Saccharomyces cerevisiae S288C: one gene and its partners. The protein of the gene in region 1 interacts with the protein of each later gene in a biochemical or structural test. Each region holds a gene or a part of one and is shown in the gene's direction. Other genes may lie near its edges. The genes, in order: RAP1, CCR4, TAF4 and GCR1.

Region 1 (5,300 bases):
AGAACAACAGCAGCAACGGGTTGAATACATACTATGACCCAAAGGGAGATAACCATTATGATACAATCTCTGCGTTTCATAAATCCATTAGAGGTGGGGACGAAAACGCCTCACTGTACTATTTAGCAAGAATGTTGCAGGGAGGAGAGGACCCATTGTATGTTGCCCGAAGAATGATTCGAATAGCTTCTGAAGATATCGGATTACGGGATAGTTCATTATTGCCCTTGGCTGTCGCGGCACATGACGCAGTAATGAAAGTTGGTTTGCCAGAGGCAGACCTTGCACTGGCGCAATGTTGTGTTGCTTTGGCTAGGGCACCAAAGTCAGTAGAACTATATAGAGCTTGGAAGAAATTAAGGGCAATGATGAGCGAGAACATGTACAGTTTAGCAAGCAGTGAGATACCGATGCATATCAGAAATGCGCCAACCAAATTGATGGAGGAGCTGGGTTATCATAAAGGCTACAAGTACAATCCCGATTATATTGAAGGAAAAGTCCAACAAGACTACTTTCCCAAAGAAGTGCTCGAGAAATGTCCAAATAAAACTGACTTAAAGTTCCTGGACGGCAAACATTTAGGAGACAAAGAAGATCCTGACTTGAGACAGTCATATCAGGGTTAGTCAAGGGTCTTCCATACTTCTCTCAATGCCGCGTCTACAATTCATATTTTTTTCTCTGTTGGCCAATGCCGCTTGTTTTTTTACGCTTGAGGCGCATTGCATTGCTGGCACGTTTTTGTGCAGCATGAACGATATAAACTATAATTTTAGATAATCAAGGATCCACCTTTTTTTTTCATGCTAGAAAAGTCTCGCGGGCCCATCTGAGATATATTAGAACATATACGCATCCTATAAGAAGAGCACATTATTCTTGAATTAGTTCTTCCTTTTCCTCGACCTTCCAGCTTGTAAAATGAGCCAGGCTTGAGGAGCATAGATACGCAAAAATGGAAGATAAGCGGAAAAGACGAGCCGCTACACTTAGTACAGCATTGATATTATTTGTGGCATGCTGCGTTTATACACTATATATATTCAAGTTTGATAACCCTCGGTTGTCTCCACCAGTTTCCTTATTGCCTACAATTAGCACCTTGAAGAAAATTGAGCATGTAACAGATTTAAATAAGGAGTACGTTTTTGTTGGTGACGTTCATGGTAACTATGATGAGTTCATAGAACTCATTGATGACAAGATTGGAGGACTAGGAGAAAATATAACAATGATATTGCTGGGTGACTTTATTCACAAGGGCCCGGACTCAGACAAGGTCGTGTCGTATATTCTAAATCACAAGGATCAAGTCAAGTGCGTTTTGGGCAATCATGAAATATTGGTCATGATGGCCTATTTAAACCCAGACTTCTCGAAATGGGTAAGACGCCCCAAATTAATGACACCTTTAACTTTCAGTACGGAGACTAATTTCATACCACAAGACATCTCTAAAATCAGCAACGCACATGGACGGTTAGCTCGCGAACTTGGGTTTTCCAAATTAAGTCAGCTAGCGGAACATTGTTCTATGGCCATAGAACTAGATCTGGATATTACCGGTGATATACTCTTTGGTGCACATGCAGGGATGGTTCCGGGAGACTTCATGAAGCCCAACCAAATTCCGGGCGTGAGCTCTCTGTCAAACATGAAGTACGTTGATAAGAAGAACTGGTCAAAAACATCACGTGAAAAGGAAAACAAGAATTATGTGAGATGGTACACACTGTGGGACAAATACGGAGACCACTTTAGTAACGCCAAAGTATTTTACGGGCACGATGCATCCATGGGACTAAACCTACGGAGACAGACCAAAGGTTTGGACACAGCATGTATAAAGAACAATCTGCTTTCATCTATGAAAGTGAAGTACGATATTAAGAAGGGGCAATATGACTATGAATTAATTCAAGTACAATGCTCTTAAAACAAAAAGTACTACTTAAAAGCGCAACAGATTTTATATAATGTACTATATGAAAAAGATATGAATATTATTATGTAACTCATAATACTGAATCTTAAATTTCAATGAAACTTTCGCTGGAGCTACAAGTATTCTTGCCCAATGGCCGCTACCCGCCTCTTCTTCGTTGTTGAAGTTTTAAAATTTAGCGAGAAAAGAAAACAAAACCGAAAACAGACAACCGCAATCATTTCTTCAACACCCAACATCCAGCACCTAAACACCATCAATACACGTTTTAAACAAAACAAACCCATAGCCCAAAAGGTAGTAAACACAAACCGTTGTATACGCAACCGCCCTACATAAGACACTATTTGCGTACAGATTATCTCAATATGTCTAGTCCAGATGATTTTGAAACTGCACCAGCAGAATATGTTGATGCATTGGATCCGAGTATGGTCGTTGTTGACAGTGGTTCTGCTGCAGTCACAGCGCCATCGGATTCAGCCGCTGAGGTAAAAGCTAATCAAAACGAAGAAAACACTGGTGCTACTGCTGCTGAAACTAGTGAGAAAGTGGATCAGACGGAGGTCGAAAAGAAAGATGATGATGATACCACTGAAGTCGGTGTAACAACTACCACGCCTTCCATTGCTGATACTGCTGCTACCGCTAACATTGCTTCGACATCAGGTGCATCTGTTACTGAACCTACTACTGATGACACCGCTGCTGATGAGAAAAAGGAACAAGTAAGTGGTCCTCCTCTGTCAAATATGAAATTCTATCTTAATCGCGACGCGGATGCGCATGACTCTTTAAATGATATTGATCAATTAGCGCGTCTGATTAGAGCAAACGGTGGTGAAGTGCTAGACTCCAAGCCAAGAGAATCAAAAGAGAATGTTTTCATCGTGTCACCCTATAATCATACCAATTTACCAACGGTAACTCCGACTTATATTAAGGCATGTTGTCAAAGCAACTCGCTACTGAACATGGAAAATTATTTAGTACCATACGATAACTTTAGAGAAGTTGTCGATAGTAGGTTGCAGGAGGAATCGCATTCTAATGGTGTAGATAATAGCAATAGCAATAGCGATAACAAGGATTCTATCAGGCCCAAAACAGAAATAATCTCTACGAATACTAATGGCGCTACGGAAGACTCAACCAGCGAAAAAGTTATGGTAGACGCTGAACAACAAGCTAGATTACAAGAGCAAGCTCAGCTCCTTCGTCAACATGTAAGCAGCACCGCATCAATCACAAGCGGAGGGCACAATGACTTGGTCCAGATCGAACAACCTCAAAAAGATACCTCCAATAATAATAATAGCAACGTCAACGACGAAGACAATGATCTTTTGACACAGGACAACAACCCTCAAACAGCAGATGAGGGGAATGCATCTTTTCAAGCACAAAGGTCCATGATTTCGAGAGGCGCTTTGCCCTCCCACAATAAAGCTTCTTTTACAGATGAGGAAGATGAGTTTATTTTGGATGTTGTGAGAAAAAATCCAACCAGGCGTACAACACATACTCTTTACGATGAAATATCCCATTATGTGCCTAACCACACGGGTAATTCTATTAGGCACCGATTTAGAGTCTATCTTTCCAAAAGACTAGAGTACGTTTATGAGGTTGACAAGTTTGGTAAATTGGTTAGAGACGACGATGGAAATCTGATAAAGACTAAAGTTTTGCCACCATCAATTAAAAGGAAATTTTCAGCAGATGAAGATTACACTTTGGCAATCGCGGTCAAGAAGCAGTTTTATCGTGATTTGTTTCAAATCGACCCTGATACTGGAAGATCACTTATCACAGATGAGGATACACCCACTGCTATAGCGAGGAGGAATATGACAATGGATCCAAATCATGTGCCAGGGAGTGAACCCAACTTTGCAGCTTACAGAACCCAAAGCCGTAGGGGACCGATTGCACGAGAATTTTTCAAGCATTTTGCCGAAGAGCATGCAGCACATACTGAGAATGCTTGGAGAGATAGGTTTAGGAAGTTTCTTCTCGCTTACGGCATTGATGATTATATTAGTTATTATGAAGCTGAAAAAGCTCAGAATAGAGAGCCGGAACCGATGAAGAACCTCACCAATAGACCCAAGAGGCCTGGCGTTCCCACTCCTGGCAATTATAACTCTGCCGCCAAGAGGGCAAGAAATTATAGTTCTCAAAGAAATGTTCAGCCTACTGCCAATGCAGCGTCCGCTAATGCTGCTGCCGCTGCTGCTGCCGCTGCTTCCAACTCTTACGCTATACCAGAAAACGAATTACTGGACGAAGATACCATGAATTTCATTTCCAGTTTAAAGAATGATCTATCCAATATTTCAAATAGTTTGCCCTTTGAGTATCCACACGAGATTGCGGAAGCTATAAGAAGCGATTTTTCGAATGAAGATATATATGATAATATTGATCCTGATACCATAAGCTTTCCACCAAAAATTGCAACAACAGATCTTTTCCTGCCATTGTTCTTTCATTTTGGCAGTACGAGACAATTTATGGATAAACTTCATGAAGTTATTTCAGGAGATTATGAGCCATCACAGGCTGAAAAACTGGTACAGGATCTTTGCGATGAAACTGGTATACGTAAAAATTTCAGTACGAGCATATTGACGTGTTTATCCGGGGATCTGATGGTCTTTCCTCGCTATTTCTTGAACATGTTTAAGGACAATGTTAATCCTCCTCCCAACGTTCCTGGTATTTGGACACATGATGACGACGAATCGCTAAAAAGCAATGATCAAGAACAAATAAGGAAACTGGTTAAAAAGCATGGAACTGGTAGAATGGAAATGAGGAAAAGATTTTTTGAGAAGGACCTGTTATGAGTAATTGAATTAAGTAACATCATTGTTTAACTTATTTTACTCCTTTATTTCACTGATTCACGTTTTCTACTTTGTTTTTCAGTTCAATGTATAATTTATGTAAACTTTTACGTATTTTAATTTTCAAAATTCTTACAATGATTAAGGCGGAACAGTTTTATAGAATCCCATTAGCAAAAAAGAGAGAAGAAAAGGAGGAAAGTATAACGCAGAACGAAGATTCTCATTTTTAACGTGTCTTTTCTTCAAGGATAAAACGCCTAACTAGCAAATAACTGGCGATTAGCAGACTACAATGGACAGTGAAGCAAGTGACATTGAGGCAGAGTTATCCGACAGCGTCTCAGCTGGTGGGGAAGAATACATTGACGATGATGATTATACGGAAGATATTGACGATCAGATAGTCACAGCCAAATCATCTAGAAGAACAGCACGTAGGAGTGTACCTAAGGGTGTAAGAACCTCAAAACGCATTAGAGATAAAGAACTTTCTGTGG
Region 2 (5,754 bases), on another chromosome or scaffold:
ATATTCAAGTTAGTTGGCAGCTCAAAAGTGTATTGTTTCTGGTTGATGACGTTTGAGTAACGGTCAAAAATGGACGTTTTCTGTTTGGCCACGGTAATCTTGGAGGATTTGTTGTTGATATTGCCATGGATAGATGATAAACGGCCTGTGTTTGCCAGTGGTAATGACTTCTTGACAGGTGGCGGGGTTTCTGACTTCTTGGGAGATGCGTTCTTGTTCCATGTCCAATTTTGTCTTTGCTGCCTCAATCTTGTAAGACGTTCCCTGGCAGACTGTAAGTTAAAAGAGTTAGATTTGAAAACAGCCTGCACCAGAGTTTGAGAGAAATCGGGGAACTCTCTCGCAAGGTTAACCAGTGCTACCTCAGGACTCCCAGATGGGAGCGGCTTCGAAGTATGAGCTCCTTCGCTGGGATCTGAAGGCTTGAAAGTAAACCTGCTTCTCAAAGACGCCACACTTGCATCCGGAACTGTTGGCGAAGTAGGCTTTAAGGGAGACGACGATGCTACCTTGGTGGGAGAGGACGTCTCGGGCACTTGCACTACGTCATCCTCATCATTTGAATGCGAACCACTCATGTTTTCAACTATAGCGTATTTTCTCTCTTTTTCTTGTTTACGTTCCTTACTGTAGATAGTCGGGTGTCCACCAGTAGCAACAAACTCGAATATAGAGCACTATAGCACACGCCAGTACTGATTTAAGTTACGTGTTGCATTGCGAGATGGGCTCATGATCTCTTTTAATCCTACAAAGTGAAAAATTATGAAAAATTTCGCGGCGACGGGGGTAACGCAGCCGTTTGAGCCTTGATAATGCAGGCAGATCCAAAGCGCAAGTGATGGAATGTGATCATTAAAGGCTATAACAGGCTTGTATCGATGAGTTGTGTGTATGCGTTTGGGTCTAATGGGCAAAGGCAACTGGGACTGGGGCACGATGAGGATATGGATACCCCACAGAGGTCTGTGCCAGGAGATGATGGAGCAATAGTCAGGAAGATAGCGTGCGGTGGGAACCACAGCGTGATGCTGACAAATGACGGGAATCTGGTAGGATGTGGAGATAACAGACGGGGAGAACTGGATAGTGCGCAAGCACTGCGGCAGGTGCATGACTGGAGGCCCGTGGAAGTACCGGCACCCGTGGTGGATGTGGCGTGCGGCTGGGACACGACAGTTATTGTGGATGCTGATGGCCGTGTATGGCAGAGAGGAGGCGGTTGCTACGAGTTCACTCAGCAACATGTGCCATTGAATTCCAACGATGAGCGCATCGCAGTATACGGATGTTTCCAGAACTTTGTGGTGGTGCAAGGCACCCGAGTATACGGCTGGGGCAGCAACACAAAGTGTCAATTGCAAGAGCCCAAATCCCGATCACTGAAAGAGCCCGTATTGGTGTACGATACCGGGTCTGTGGCCGTAGACTACGTGGCCATGGGCAAGGACTTCATGGTCATAGTGGACGAGGGCGGCCGCATAGTGCACGCATCCGGTCGCCTGCCCACTGGGTTCGAGCTCAAACAACAGCAAAAAAGACACAATCTAGTGGTACTGTGCATGTGGACCTCGATCCACCTGTGGAATGCGCGCCTCAATACGGTAGAGTCGTTTGGTAGGGGCACACATTCCCAACTCTTCCCGCAAGAGCGCCTAGACTTCCCTATTGTCGGTGTTGCAACCGGGAGTGAGCACGGTATTCTAACTACTGCTAATCAAGAAGGCAAGTCTCACTGTTACAATGTATACTGCTGGGGCTGGGGAGAGCATGGCAACTGCGGCCCGCAAAAGGGCTCCCAGCCTGGACTGCAGCTCGTGGGCCAATACTCTGGAAAACCTCGCGTGTTTGGCGGATGTGCCACCACGTGGATCGTGCTCTAGCACTGATAAGTAACTATATACCCACTATCATATACATAGATGTCCATTCAGCATTAATTCTCATCGTGGTAGATCTCAAAGGTAAAGTAGCCGTTTAGGCCTTTTGTTATCGCCCGTACTTGCGAAAAACGGGCCAACAACGAAAAAATTTGAAAAAGTTTCCACCTTAGAGAAGGTTCTCAAGCACAAGGGCACAGCATAAGGGACACCAGCAAGGGAACTCCGACTGACGTTATCCCTGCAAACTACCGCTAATGAACGACCCTTCTTTACTAGGCTACCCTAATGTGGGCCCGCAGCAGCAACAGCAACAGCAGCAACAGCAGCATGCCGGGCTACTAGGAAAGGGTACACCAAACGCTCTACAGCAGCAGCTACACATGAACCAGCTCACCGGGATACCTCCACCGGGACTCATGAACAACAGCGATGTACACACTTCCAGCAACAACAACTCGCGCCAGTTGCTCGACCAATTGGCTAATGGGAACGCGAACATGCTCAATATGAACATGGATAACAACAATAACAACAATAACAACAACAACAACAACAACAACAACGGCGGTGGAAGCGGGGTGATGATGAATGCCTCCACAGCCGCAGTAAATTCTATAGGGATGGTTCCTACCGTTGGTACGCCTGTGAACATCAATGTGAACGCCAGTAACCCTTTATTACACCCGCACTTGGATGACCCTTCTTTACTAAACAATCCGATCTGGAAGCTTCAATTGCATCTGGCTGCAGTGTCCGCACAATCTCTGGGGCAACCCAACATTTATGCTAGACAAAACGCTATGAAGAAGTATTTGGCTACACAACAGGCTCAGCAAGCTCAGCAACAAGCGCAGCAACAGGCACAGCAGCAGGTCCCGGGCCCATTTGGCCCCGGACCTCAGGCTGCACCACCAGCTTTGCAGCCCACCGATTTCCAGCAATCTCACATTGCAGAAGCCTCCAAATCACTGGTAGACTGCACAAAGCAAGCCTTGATGGAAATGGCCGACACTCTCACCGACAGCAAGACAGCAAAGAAACAACAACCTACGGGAGATAGCACTCCCTCAGGCACGGCAACTAACAGTGCAGTTTCTACACCATTGACTCCCAAGATAGAGCTGTTTGCTAATGGCAAGGACGAAGCCAACCAGGCGCTCTTACAACACAAGAAACTGTCTCAGTACAGCATCGACGAAGATGACGACATTGAAAACAGAATGGTCATGCCCAAGGACTCGAAATACGACGACCAATTATGGCACGCGCTAGATTTGTCCAACTTGCAAATCTTCAATATCAGCGCCAACATCTTCAAGTACGATTTTCTAACGAGACTATATTTGAATGGCAATAGCCTCACGGAACTGCCAGCGGAGATCAAGAACCTAAGCAACCTACGCGTTTTGGACCTGTCGCATAATAGGTTAACATCTCTACCAGCGGAACTAGGCTCATGTTTCCAATTGAAATACTTCTACTTTTTTGATAACATGGTCACCACATTACCATGGGAGTTTGGGAACCTGTGTAACCTTCAGTTTCTTGGTGTAGAAGGAAACCCCTTAGAAAAACAGTTTTTAAAGATCCTTACAGAAAAATCTGTCACGGGATTGATTTTCTACCTAAGGGACAACAGACCAGAGATTCCCTTACCGCATGAACGTAGGTTCATCGAAATCAATACCGATGGGGAACCACAGAGGGAGTACGATTCTTTGCAGCAATCCACTGAGCATCTGGCCACCGATTTAGCCAAGAGGACGTTCACCGTCTTATCCTACAACACCTTATGTCAACACTATGCCACCCCAAAAATGTACCGTTACACACCGTCGTGGGCGTTAAGTTGGGATTACAGGCGCAATAAATTAAAGGAGCAGATTCTCTCGTACGACAGTGATCTGTTGTGTTTACAAGAAGTGGAGTCTAAGACTTTTGAAGAGTATTGGGTGCCCCTATTGGACAAGCACGGTTATACAGGCATCTTCCATGCAAAGGCAAGAGCCAAGACCATGCATTCCAAGGACTCCAAGAAAGTGGACGGGTGTTGCATTTTTTTCAAAAGGGACCAATTCAAGTTGATCACCAAAGACGCCATGGATTTCAGCGGTGCTTGGATGAAACACAAGAAGTTCCAAAGAACTGAAGATTATTTAAACCGTGCAATGAACAAAGACAACGTTGCACTGTTCTTAAAGCTACAACACATTCCTAGTGGCGACACCATATGGGCGGTCACCACGCATTTGCACTGGGATCCAAAATTTAATGATGTCAAGACATTCCAAGTAGGTGTCCTGTTAGATCATCTGGAAACGCTGCTAAAGGAGGAGACATCGCACAATTTTAGACAGGACATTAAGAAATTTCCTGTGCTCATTTGTGGTGACTTCAATTCATACATCAACTCCGCCGTATACGAATTGATAAATACAGGCCGTGTCCAAATACATCAAGAGGGAAATGGTAGAGATTTCGGTTACATGTCGGAGAAAAATTTCTCACATAACTTGGCTCTCAAATCAAGTTATAATTGTATCGGAGAACTACCATTCACCAATTTCACACCGTCATTCACAGATGTTATCGACTATATATGGTTTTCTACACATGCTCTAAGGGTGCGTGGGCTATTGGGTGAAGTGGACCCTGAATACGTGAGTAAGTTTATCGGGTTCCCCAACGACAAATTCCCCAGTGACCATATACCATTGTTAGCAAGATTTGAATTTATGAAGACAAACACAGGCAGTAAGAAAGTATAAACCGCACACTTTCATCCCACTCCCTCCCTCCTCTCTGTACACTACCTCATTATAAAATTGAAACGATCCCAATCTCACCGCACTTCCCATAAAGCCTTCACGTTATACTTTTTTTTCTCATCTTTTTTTTCTCTCTCTCTCTCTCTCTCTTTTGCGTATCTTTTTCGTCCTGTTTCTTTCTTACTTAAGTATCTTTTTATAATATTTAAGAGAGCCAAAATTATTTAACCAAACCAAGAATCTTGTATTCTATAACGAATCCTTAATTCTTCTTGTTGTTATTAATGCCAAAAACAGAATTAATTTCCCGAAAAAGAAAAAAAAATTGACTTAAAAAATCATAGGAAAGGATGAATGATTTACGTTACGGCGACAGCTTATCATCAAACGCAAGAAAGCATACCAGATTGCAAAAATGAGTACTAGTGCGGACACTGATACCATCAAGAAGCCAATCCTTGCGGTGCCAGAGCCTGCACTGGCCGATACGCATTCAGAGGAGATATCACGCTCTGGAGAAGAACATGAATCAGAGAACAACGAGCACTCAGATGAAGAAGGCGATAATTATTCTGAAAGAGAGCAATCTGTGTCAACCGAACCACTGGATACATTGCCGTTAAGAAAAAAGTTGAAAAATCTTTCATATATTACATTTTTCGCCATAGGAATAGGTCTTTTATGGCCGTGGAACTGTATCCTCAGTGCCTCGCAATATTTTAAGCACGATATTTTCAAAGACACCTCCATTTGGGCAAAGATCTTCACAAGCTCTATGATGTCCTTTTCTACCATATCGTCAATGCTGTTCAACATCTACTTGGCCAAAAGACAGTACAAATACTCGAGAAGGGTCATAAACGGGCTTGTGTGGGAGATTATTGTCTTTACTGTCATGTGCTTCTTTACAATTTTGCATTTCCTTTTACCTAAATGGTTCAATTTCATGTTTATAATGATGCTTGTAGTGATCAGTTCCATGGGGACAGCCATGACACAGAATGGTATCATGGCCATAGCCAACGTCTTCGGTTCCGAGTACAGTCAAGGTGTCATGGTGGGGCAAGCCGTTGCTGGTGTCCTGCCCTCCCTAGTGCTTTTTG
Region 3 (4,068 bases), on another chromosome or scaffold:
TTACTTTTCAAGCACGCAAACTATTTAGTGAAACATCTCATTGCTCTTCCAAGTACCTCGCCTTCTGAAGAACGTACTGTCGTAAGAAGATACTCTGATTTCTTATGGTTAAGAGAAATTCTGCTGAAAAGATACCCTTTTAGAATGATCCCTGAGCTACCTCCCAAAAGAATTGGATCCCAAAACGCAGACCAGCTTTTTTTGAAGAAAAGAAGAATAGGGTTATCTAGATTCATTAATTTGGTAATGAAACACCCTAAATTAAGTAATGATGATTTAGTGTTAACATTTTTAACCGTACGCACTGACTTAACAAGTTGGAGAAAGCAAGCAACCTATGACACTTCAAACGAATTCGCTGATAAAAAGATATCACAAGAATTTATGAAAATGTGGAAAAAAGAGTTTGCAGAACAATGGAACCAGGCTGCATCTTGTATCGATACCTCGATGGAATTATGGTATAGAATCACGCTTCTCTTGGAAAGGCATGAAAAAAGAATTATGCAAATGGTACACGAAAGAAATTTTTTTGAGACACTAGTGGATAACTTTAGCGAAGTGACTCCAAAACTATATCCGGTACAACAAAATGATACCATATTGGACATTAATAACAATTTGAGTATAATTAAAAAACACCTAGAAACTACGAGTAGTATCTGCAAACAAGAAACAGAAGAAATATCGGGAACGTTATCGCCAAAATTCAAAATTTTCACGGACATCTTACTTTCTTTGAGAAGTTTATTTGAGAGATACAAAATTATGGCTGCAAATAACGTAGTTGAATTGCAAAGACATGTCGAATTGAACAAAGAGAAATTGGAATCGATGAAAGGAAAACCAGATGTCAGTGGAGCAGAGTACGACAGGATAAAAAAAATCATACAGAAGGATAGAAGAAGCATAATAGAGCAATCAAACAGAGCTTGGTTGATAAGACAATGTATTTTGGAAGAGTTTACAATCTTTCAGGAAACCCAATTTTTAATAACACGTGCCTTCCAGGATTGGGCAAAATTGAACTCCAACCATGCCGGTCTCAAACTGAATGAGTGGGAAAAGCTCGTCACAAGCATCATGGATATGCCGATTTCTCGTGAATAAATTTTACGGAGTGAAGACTAACCACTTAGTCTGCCAAAACATTATTGAAGGATATCCAACAGATGTAATTGACGTACTAAACAGAGAAATAATTAGGTAAATAGAGTAAAGATATGTACCACTATAAATTGTTATTTATTTGTTTTTCAATTTTAAATACAGTGTATGAAGCCTAATTCGGATATTATAGGTTCCCATATTTATTAGAAGGTAACAAATCTTTCGATAATTTGGATTAGATAGCCTTATAATATGCCGGACAAACGACGCCCGCTAAAAATGTGTATTCTCCAGTATTCAATATTCGTCATAAATGATCTTAATTTGAAAAAGTGAATGAACTGAACATCGATAAGTCGAATGTGGTCCGTGTAATAGCTCAAATGGGAAAGTTTTTCTAATCAGCATTCTGTATAACCTCACCTGCACGTAATCTAAAGTGCTTTTATCGATTGGTAGTGCACATATTGTCTTTCGGCATCATATCACATAATGGCAAATTCGCCGAAAAAGCCATCTGATGGCACTGGAGTATCAGCGTCAGACACGCCTAAATATCAACATACCGTCCCAGAAACGAAACCAGCATTTAATTTGTCACCAGGTAAAGCTAGTGAGCTATCACATAGCCTTCCGTCGCCTAGCCAGATAAAATCAACCGCACATGTATCTTCAACTCACAATGATGCGGCAGGTAATACGGATGATTCTGTTCTTCCTAAAAATGTATCACCCACAACTAATTTGAGAGTTGAAAGTAATGGAGATACAAACAATATGTTCTCTAGCCCTGCTGGACTAGCTCTACCAAAAAAGGATGATAAAAAAAAAAACAAGGGTACGAGTAAAGCAGATTCTAAAGATGGCAAAGCATCCAACTCCTCAGGACAGAATGCACAACAACAATCAGACCCAAATAAAATGCAAGATGTCCTTTTTTCCGCAGGTATCGATGTTAGGGAGGAGGAGGCTCTTCTAAATTCATCTATTAATGCCTCAAAATCCCAAGTTCAAACAAATAACGTTAAGATCCCCAACCATTTACCATTCCTTCACCCGGAACAAGTTTCCAATTATATGAGGAAAGTCGGAAAAGAGCAAAACTTCAACCTGACCCCTACAAAGAATCCTGAAATTTTGGACATGATGTCAAGTGCCTGCGAAAACTATATGAGAGATATCCTAACAAATGCCATTGTCATCTCCCGACATAGAAGAAAAGCAGTCAAGATAAATTCTGGTAGAAGAAGTGAAGTTTCTGCGGCTTTAAGAGCCATTGCACTAATTCAAAAAAAAGAAGAAGAAAGGCGTGTGAAAAAAAGAATTGCGTTGGGACTCGAGAAGGAAGATTATGAAAATAAGATTGATTCCGAAGAGACGTTACACAGAGCATCGAACGTTACGGCTGGCCTTAGAGCAGGTAGTAAAAAACAGTATGGTTGGCTAACTTCATCAGTAAATAAGCCGACGTCCTTGGGAGCAAAATCTTCAGGCAAAGTCGCCTCCGACATCACGGCTAGAGGAGAAAGTGGGCTAAAGTTTAGAGAAGCTAGAGAGGAGCCTGGTATAGTAATGAGGGATTTACTCTTTGCTCTCGAAAATAGGCGCAACAGCGTTCAGACTATTATTTCAAAGGGTTATGCCAAGATCAGAGATTAATTGCTCATCTCTTATACTGTCTATAATATTTAAAGGTATAGTGTTTCAAATAAACTAGGATATAAAAAAAACAAGATTGACTAACATAAAGAAGGCCGGTTGGTGTCGCTTAGTCAAGTCATCGCCAAGCTATTGAGGACCATTCAACCTTTTTGCTTTGTTCATTTTAACTTTATAATAAGGAAGATATATCAATCCTTGAAGTTAGGCATCCTTCTACCAAAAATAGCGGAAAGAGGAGTGATAATCGGGAAAAAAATTTTCATATTAATACACATTTTTATACATTTACTTGTCATTATCCTTTTGGGTGAAAGGATGTATTATGTATTGTTTCTCAGAAGGGCTTCTAAATTAGTCCAAATAATGCTGTTATGGCACCTAACAAACTCATTAGAGTATTAGTGTTCGCATAGGAAATAGCCGCAGCATTCGCTTTGTTTGCCGTAGAGGAAGAAGAACGAGCTGTAGAGGAAGAAATTGAAGAGGATGAAGAATTTGAGTTTAAAGTTGTATTTGACGAAGAGTTTGAGTTAGAAGTGACATTTGATGAAGTCGAGGTTGTTGAGTTTGATGTAGTATTTCCGGAGGTTGATGAACCTAAGAGAGCCGTTATTGGAATACCGTCAGTAGCCTCAGAGATTGCAGAGGCAATAGCACCGCTTTGATACGTACTATTTCCCGATAGTTCAGGATTAGCTGAGGTACTTAGTGTGCCGTTCCAGCAGTAATCCGCAAAACATTTGGTACATTCAGGGGGCAAGGTGGCATTTAGGCTTTCTTGCTTACGTCTAATGATGGCACAACCTATGCAACCTAAAAAGTTAGAGTCATCCGTAAAGTTGCCCATTGTAGCAGCTTCAAAACCATTTCTGATCATTCCAAGACGTTCTGTAACATTGTAGTTCATCTTCAAAGTACTTTGGTTACCATTGAATGAATGTTTTGTGTTTGGGATATATACAACTAAAGGTGGAATATACTCCAAGTCCGTCAAATTTTTTGCATCACAACCAAAAAACGTTGGCTTATTAGTTAAGCCCAAGTTAAGGAAGGTGTTAACGTCTGGAACATATGGGAAAGCCATTCCTTTACCTTGCTTAGAATACTGGCGCTCATAAGTGTTCGTCATGCACACACCACTTGGCCATGATTCATCAGTATTGTCGGATATATCCAATGCGAACACCACATCCAAGTCACGTTCCTTCTTGATTAGTGGAACCAACGGCAAATTTTGGCCGTCCTCACCACCATCAACTAAAAACAAATCATCGGCATCAACAATACTGGAAGTGT
Region 4 (6,142 bases), on another chromosome or scaffold:
TGAGTTGAGAGCAAGACAAAAGGCTGAGAGTAACCAGAAGTCTGATAGAAAATTATCAGAAGCTGCTCGCGCTCAAATTAGGTTGGATTTTATAAGTTTCTACCAAACCATATTGAACACTTCTTTCATTTACATCACTTTTACATATATTTACTATTATGGCTTCGATCCTATTCCGCCAACTATTTTCCTTTCATTTATAACATTGATTATATCAAGGACGAAAGTCGACCCTCTATTGTCCTCATTCATGGACGTAAAGTCTTCGCTGATTATCACATTTGCAATGTTGACTCTCTCTCCAGTCCTCAAATCTCTTTCTAAAACAACTGCATCTGATTCCATATGGACATTGTCTTTTTGGCTGACCCTATGGTACATTTTCGTTATTTCGTCAACAAAGTCCAAAGATAAACCCTCTAACCTTTCCACCAATATACTTGTCGCCCTTGTTGCTGTCCTATCATCGAGGCTTTCGACCACAATCGACGTATTCTGTTTTCTTTTAATTTGTATTCAGTTGAATATCATTCTACCCACTTATTTATCGGTGACGAATAAGGTAGTACCAATAATTTCAAATATTATTGTATACTCATTTTTGAATGTTGCTCTAGGTTGGATTTATATGCTGTTGATTTTCTTTGCTTCAGTATTTTATATTACTGTTTTACCTAAGTGGTTCATCTACTGGAAAATCAATTATCATAAACGGGATAACGATCTACTAAGTACATGGGATGCAAGAACACCAATATTGGATTAGCGCAATCAAGAACATGATTTCCTTCGGATAAGCAAGGGAGGGGTACGACTTCTGCCCGCAGGGGCTTATTGCCTGTCCTCTTCCTCGACCCCACGGTATTTCATTATATATAGAGTCACTGTAATAATAATTATCATGAAACCTGACAAGCAAAGGCGTCGGGCAATTACCAAAGGGCAGTTCGGTCGATTAAGTTTGCTTCACTACAGATTATTCACATATCATACGACAACTTTAAAATTGAACATTCAGGAGATTTTTGAATGCATTGATGGGCCCTTGCACCTTAACCGGGTCCCAATATTAGAGAAACGCCCCCTTAAACTGAACACAAGACAATACTACCTGGCCAATAGGGTACAATTTGCGGCCGTGTTAAACAGGCGTTTCAGCGTCTACCGCTCCTAATTTAAAGTCACTTGTTTCTTGGTAGCAGCAGCTTCCTGTTTTCTTCTTTTTGGCACTTGGTTATGTGATAATATCACCCGGATGAGAAACCTTTAAAATAAGCGTTTGGGAGGGGAAAAAGTGCAGTAACTGTCACAAATTTAACAAACAATTTGTTCACAAGTTTTGCCTTATCGTTCATCACATGTTATTTTTTTCAATCTAGCCAAAGTATCTAAAGAAGAATTTTCGTCTCTCTTGTGCCTTCTCATAATGTTCAATTAAGATGCAGACGGCTTTGACATGTCATTAATTTACTGAATTTCTGACACTTCCCCACGATATTTATCATTTTTTACGTAATTAAGATTTAAACTCCGTACACCCGGCTTCCACAAATGTAGAATTTTCCGGAGCTTCGAACTTCTTGTTTCACGAATTAAAAGCATCCAACGTAGAACCACCCAACTCATCTTCCTAATGCTGAAGCTTCATCGGTAAACAAACCACAGTTAATAGCGAGAAAGTCGGCAAGTGACAAACGACGGTTATATTTAATTGGCCTTTGATATATATTGAAAATGGTATGGTATGATCATAACACGCATTCTGAAAATGTTATCTGGGAGGTTTTCGATGGGTATGGAGTTTTCCTTGATTCTCACTTATTATCCCTTGTATTGTAATTGATCCTTCAGTAATATTTGCAGCCTTTCACAACTATCCTTTTTTTCATTGCTTATTACTATTGAACCTTTTTTAGGAGTTGCCTGCTTATGCAATATAATTTGCTGACAAGTAGTAAATTACCAGCACAATATTAAGATTAAAAAAGAAATTAGCCAAGAGCTTGATATATTATCTTATACACAAACCTTTCCGACCTACTTGATAAAGCCACATACCTCTACCTCTTCTATTAGAAATAGAAAAGTACAAAAATAGCAAAAGGAAATAATTTCTTTAAAATAACATTGTGTGAGGTTCCAACTATGGATTATTAATAGAGTAACGCAAACTTAAGGAAAGGAAGTGCTTTACAATTAAGTATTTATAAGAACGAATTTATCCCCCAAAAAAAAGCACCTATACTTAATAAAAGGAGGGGAATAGCTATCAATTGAGTGTTGTCTGCGTCTGTCTGCGTACAAGAGGATGAATTTTCTGACTCAGGCTATGTCAGAAACTTTTCAAGGGACAAATAACAGGATAAAACGTAATGTCAGGACACAAAGTGTGCCATCAACTTCCTATAATAATGGCAAAGAATCATATGGACCAAATACTAACCAATTAAATGCCCTACTTTCTCAATTGGAACAGCAAACAAGTGTTGATAGTACCAGCACGAGCTCAAACTTTTATTCCATTGCACAATATATTTTACAATCATACTTCAAGGTCAATGTAGATTCTCTAAACTCTCTGAAATTGGTGGATTTGATAGTGGACCAAACTTACCCTGATTCTTTGACGCTGCGAAAGCTGAATGAAGGAGCAACGGGACAACCATACGATTATTTCAATACAGTTTCTCGTGATGCTGATATCTCCAAGTGTCCAATTTTTGCGTTGACCATATTTTTTGTTATACGATGGAGCCACCCAAACCCTCCAATTTCAATTGAGAATTTTACTACAGTACCGTTGCTAGATTCAAACTTTATTTCTCTAAATTCCAATCCTTTACTATATATTCAAAATCAAAACCCAAACAGCAATTCAAGTGTTAAAGTTTCAAGGTCACAAACGTTTGAACCTTCTAAAGAGTTGATCGATTTGGTATTTCCATGGCTGTCTTATTTGAAGCAGGATATGCTTCTTATTGATAGGACGAATTACAAGCTTTATTCTCTCTGTGAACTATTTGAATTTATGGGCAGGGTTGCCATTCAGGATCTCCGATATCTGAGTCAACATCCCTTATTACTACCCAATATCGTAACATTCATTTCAAAATTTATTCCTGAGTTATTCCAAAACGAAGAGTTTAAAGGAATCGGTTCAATTAAAAATTCAAACAATAATGCCCTGAACAATGTTACAGGAATAGAAACCCAATTTTTAAATCCATCTACCGAGGAAGTGAGTCAAAAAGTTGATTCTTACTTTATGGAATTATCAAAAAAATTAACTACAGAAAATATCAGGTTAAGTCAAGAAATAACACAACTAAAAGCAGATATGAACTCCGTAGGCAATGTTTGTAACCAAATTTTGCTGTTGCAGAGACAATTGCTTTCAGGAAATCAGGCGATCGGATCAAAGTCCGAAAATATTGTGTCTTCCACAGGTGGGGGGATATTAATACTAGATAAAAATAGCATCAATTCGAACGTACTGAGTAATTTGGTTCAGTCGATAGATCCTAATCACTCCAAGCCCAACGGACAAGCCCAAACACATCAAAGGGGTCCGAAAGGACAATCACATGCACAGGTTCAAAGTACTAATAGCCCTGCGCTAGCGCCAATTAACATGTTCCCGAGCTTAAGTAATTCTATACAGCCGATGCTTGGCACCTTGGCTCCGCAACCGCAAGATATAGTACAGAAGAGGAAGCTACCGTTACCAGGTTCAATAGCCTCTGCAGCAACAGGCAGTCCTTTTTCTCCATCACCCGTTGGTGAGTCTCCCTATAGCAAACGCTTTAAACTAGACGATAAACCAACTCCGTCTCAGACGGCTCTTGATTCCTTACTTACAAAATCCATTTCAAGCCCTAGATTACCCCTTTCGACGTTGGCTAACACAGCTGTCACGGAATCTTTTCGCTCACCTCAGCAGTTTCAGCATTCTCCAGATTTTGTAGTTGGTGGTAGCTCAAGTTCAACAACGGAAAATAACTCTAAGAAGGTAAATGAAGATTCTCCATCATCTTCTTCAAAACTAGCTGAACGACCTCGTCTTCCAAACAACGACTCCACTACTAGCATGCCTGAAAGTCCCACCGAGGTAGCTGGTGATGATGTTGATAGGGAGAAACCGCCAGAGTCAAGTAAGTCGGAGCCCAATGATAACAGCCCAGAATCGAAAGATCCTGAGAAAAATGGTAAAAACAGTAATCCGCTTGGTACGGATGCTGACAAACCAGTACCAATTTCTAATATTCATAATTCTACTGAGGCTGCAAATTCAAGTGGTACAGTGACAAAGACAGCTCCATCATTTCCGCAGAGTTCTTCTAAGTTTGAAATTATAAATAAAAAGGATACGAAGGCGGGGCCAAACGAGGCAATCAAATACAAGCTGTCCAGAGAAAATAAAACAATATGGGACCTATATGCGGAGTGGTATATTGGTCTGAACGGTAAATCTTCAATAAAAAAATTGATTGAAAATTATGGCTGGCGAAGGTGGAAGGTTAGCGAAGATTCACATTTTTTTCCTACTAGAAGAATTATTATGGATTATATTGAAACGGAATGTGATCGTGGCATAAAACTCGGCAGGTTTACTAATCCTCAACAACCGAGGGAGGATATACGGAAGATTTTAGTAGGGGACCTAGAAAAGTTCAGGATAAATAACGGTCTGACTCTGAATTCTCTATCATTGTACTTTAGAAATTTAACGAAAAATAACAAGGAAATTTGTATTTTTGAAAACTTTAAAAATTGGAACGTTAGATCAATGACAGAAGAAGAGAAATTAAAGTATTGCAAAAGGCGACATAATACACCATCTTAAGTTTATTGAGGTTGTCCGCGACAATAGTTCCTTCAACAAAATAACGAAGCGACGATAACGAGAAATGTCATTAGGTTATTACTACCTTTATAGAAAATATATATACTTATTTAATATTTATATAGATTTATGTGTGTACATACCTATGCGGATGTATGCCTATGTGGGAATTCCTAAATGTCTTTCCATCAACGACTAAATATATATTCTCATGACTGACTATATGGGTTACGAAAACTTAATTTTTTTGTCAAAGACCCTGGCGAATTGAGAAAACCCGCTGGATAGATGGGCTATCCGAAATTTTGAAAGATGGAAAAAACATTAATCTCATTAGCAAAAGAGGTAAGACCCTGGGTGAAGAAAAGTCCGAGGAGGGAACACAAAAAAGTCTAGGATAATGGCACATGAAAAGTTTAGTATACCTGAGAACTTCACATTAGCGCAGTCTTTGCAATTGCTTTACTCTGTTGTCAAAAATCAATATAAAAACCTAGCAGACCTAATAATCAATAGCAAAGGTAATAAGGACACAGTAACGTATGGGAAAATCCACAAAAACTTAGACACTTTACTGGTATACGTCAATGAAGGTCTACGAAAAATTGAAAAGACTTATACCTTAAAGAAAGGGTTAGGAAATCTTGTAGTTGATCATCCTGAATTGAGGAGCATCATTGAGGATTTCCAAATTCTTGGCCAGGATATAAGGATCGCACGTCGTAAAGCAGAAACGCTTATGGCCGAAGGAAACGGTAGTCCCTCTTTGTCATCCTCCTCTTCCGTTTTGGGCCTTGGGACAGGAAATGGTTTGCGTTTTCCAAAACTTTGGAGAATGGGTTCCAAAAGAGATAAATTGAAAGAAGCTGACGAAAAGGAGGCTAAAATCAACAAACAGGCTGATAATATCAGACGTGCTAGGAAATTAGAAGAAGAGAAAAAGTTAGGAGCAAAACTTCAGTATGAGAGGGACTTAGAACTTCAAAGGGAAAAATTGATCGAGTTAAAGGTTAAAGAAAAGGTCGAATTTGAAGTGGCCCAAAAGTTGGAGGAGGAGAGAGTTAAGAGAGAGGAAGAAGAACGCAAACATAGAGAACAAGCGGAGAAAAAACGTATATCAACCCTGAAACATGAGAGGAAAACAAATTACAAATCAAGGGCTAGCCTCGACAACTTCTCTTCCAGTAGCAAATCTTCTGGAAAGATTGACAACTCCCTAATTAAAAGAAGATCACTTGACGTTGTACGGACTTCAGGCGAAAGAGTACGAACGCCAGTAAGAAAATCAATGGAGGCAGC

Evidence for each region.
Region 2: the proteins of RAP1 (region 1) and CCR4 form a complex in vitro, tested with the Saccharomyces cerevisiae proteins (one study listed by BioGRID).
Region 3: the proteins of RAP1 (region 1) and TAF4 form a complex in vitro, tested with the Saccharomyces cerevisiae proteins (2 studies listed by BioGRID, with this or other methods).
Region 4: the proteins of RAP1 (region 1) and GCR1 form a complex in vitro, tested with the Saccharomyces cerevisiae proteins (2 studies listed by BioGRID).

The regions. Positions count from the first base shown.
Region 1 is NC_001146.8:239,373-244,672, forward strand, and holds RAP1 (DNA-binding transcription factor RAP1), read left to right. Parts: upstream 1-2,316; coding exon 2,317-4,800; downstream 4,801-5,300. Other genes in the region: ssDNA-dependent ATPase MGS1, read left to right, coding at 1-629; PPN2 (putative serine/threonine-protein phosphatase), read left to right, coding at 959-1,939; IES2 (Ies2p), read left to right, coding at 5,096-5,300. UniProt on the Saccharomyces cerevisiae protein: Essential regulatory protein in yeast whose DNA-binding sites are found at three types of chromosomal elements: promoters, silencers, and telomeres.
Region 2 is NC_001133.9:109,743-115,496, reverse strand, and holds CCR4 (CCR4-NOT core exoribonuclease subunit CCR4), read left to right. Parts: upstream 1-2,137; coding exon 2,138-4,651; downstream 4,652-5,754. Other genes in the region: DNA-dependent ATPase FUN30, read right to left, coding at 1-578; ATS1 (Ats1p), read left to right, coding at 882-1,883; nucleoside transmembrane transporter FUN26, read left to right, coding at 5,067-5,754. UniProt on the Saccharomyces cerevisiae protein: Acts as a catalytic component of the CCR4-NOT core complex, which in the nucleus seems to be a general transcription factor, and in the cytoplasm the major mRNA deadenylase involved in mRNA turnover.
Region 3 is NC_001145.3:274,443-278,510, forward strand, and holds TAF4 (Taf4p), read left to right. Parts: upstream 1-1,602; coding exon 1,603-2,769; downstream 2,770-4,068. Other genes in the region: MVP1 (Mvp1p), read left to right, coding at 1-1,110; PLB2 (lysophospholipase), read right to left, coding at 3,119-4,068. UniProt on the Saccharomyces cerevisiae protein: Functions as a component of the DNA-binding general transcription factor complex TFIID. Binding of TFIID to a promoter (with or without TATA element) is the initial step in pre-initiation complex (PIC) formation.
Region 4 is NC_001148.4:410,520-416,661, forward strand, and holds GCR1 (transcription regulator GCR1), read left to right. Parts: upstream 1-1,734; coding exon 1,735-1,742; intron 1,743-2,493; coding exon 2,494-4,843; downstream 4,844-6,142. Other genes in the region: GPI2 (phosphatidylinositol N-acetylglucosaminyltransferase), read left to right, coding at 1-766; putative AAA family ATPase YTA6, read left to right, coding at 5,244-6,142.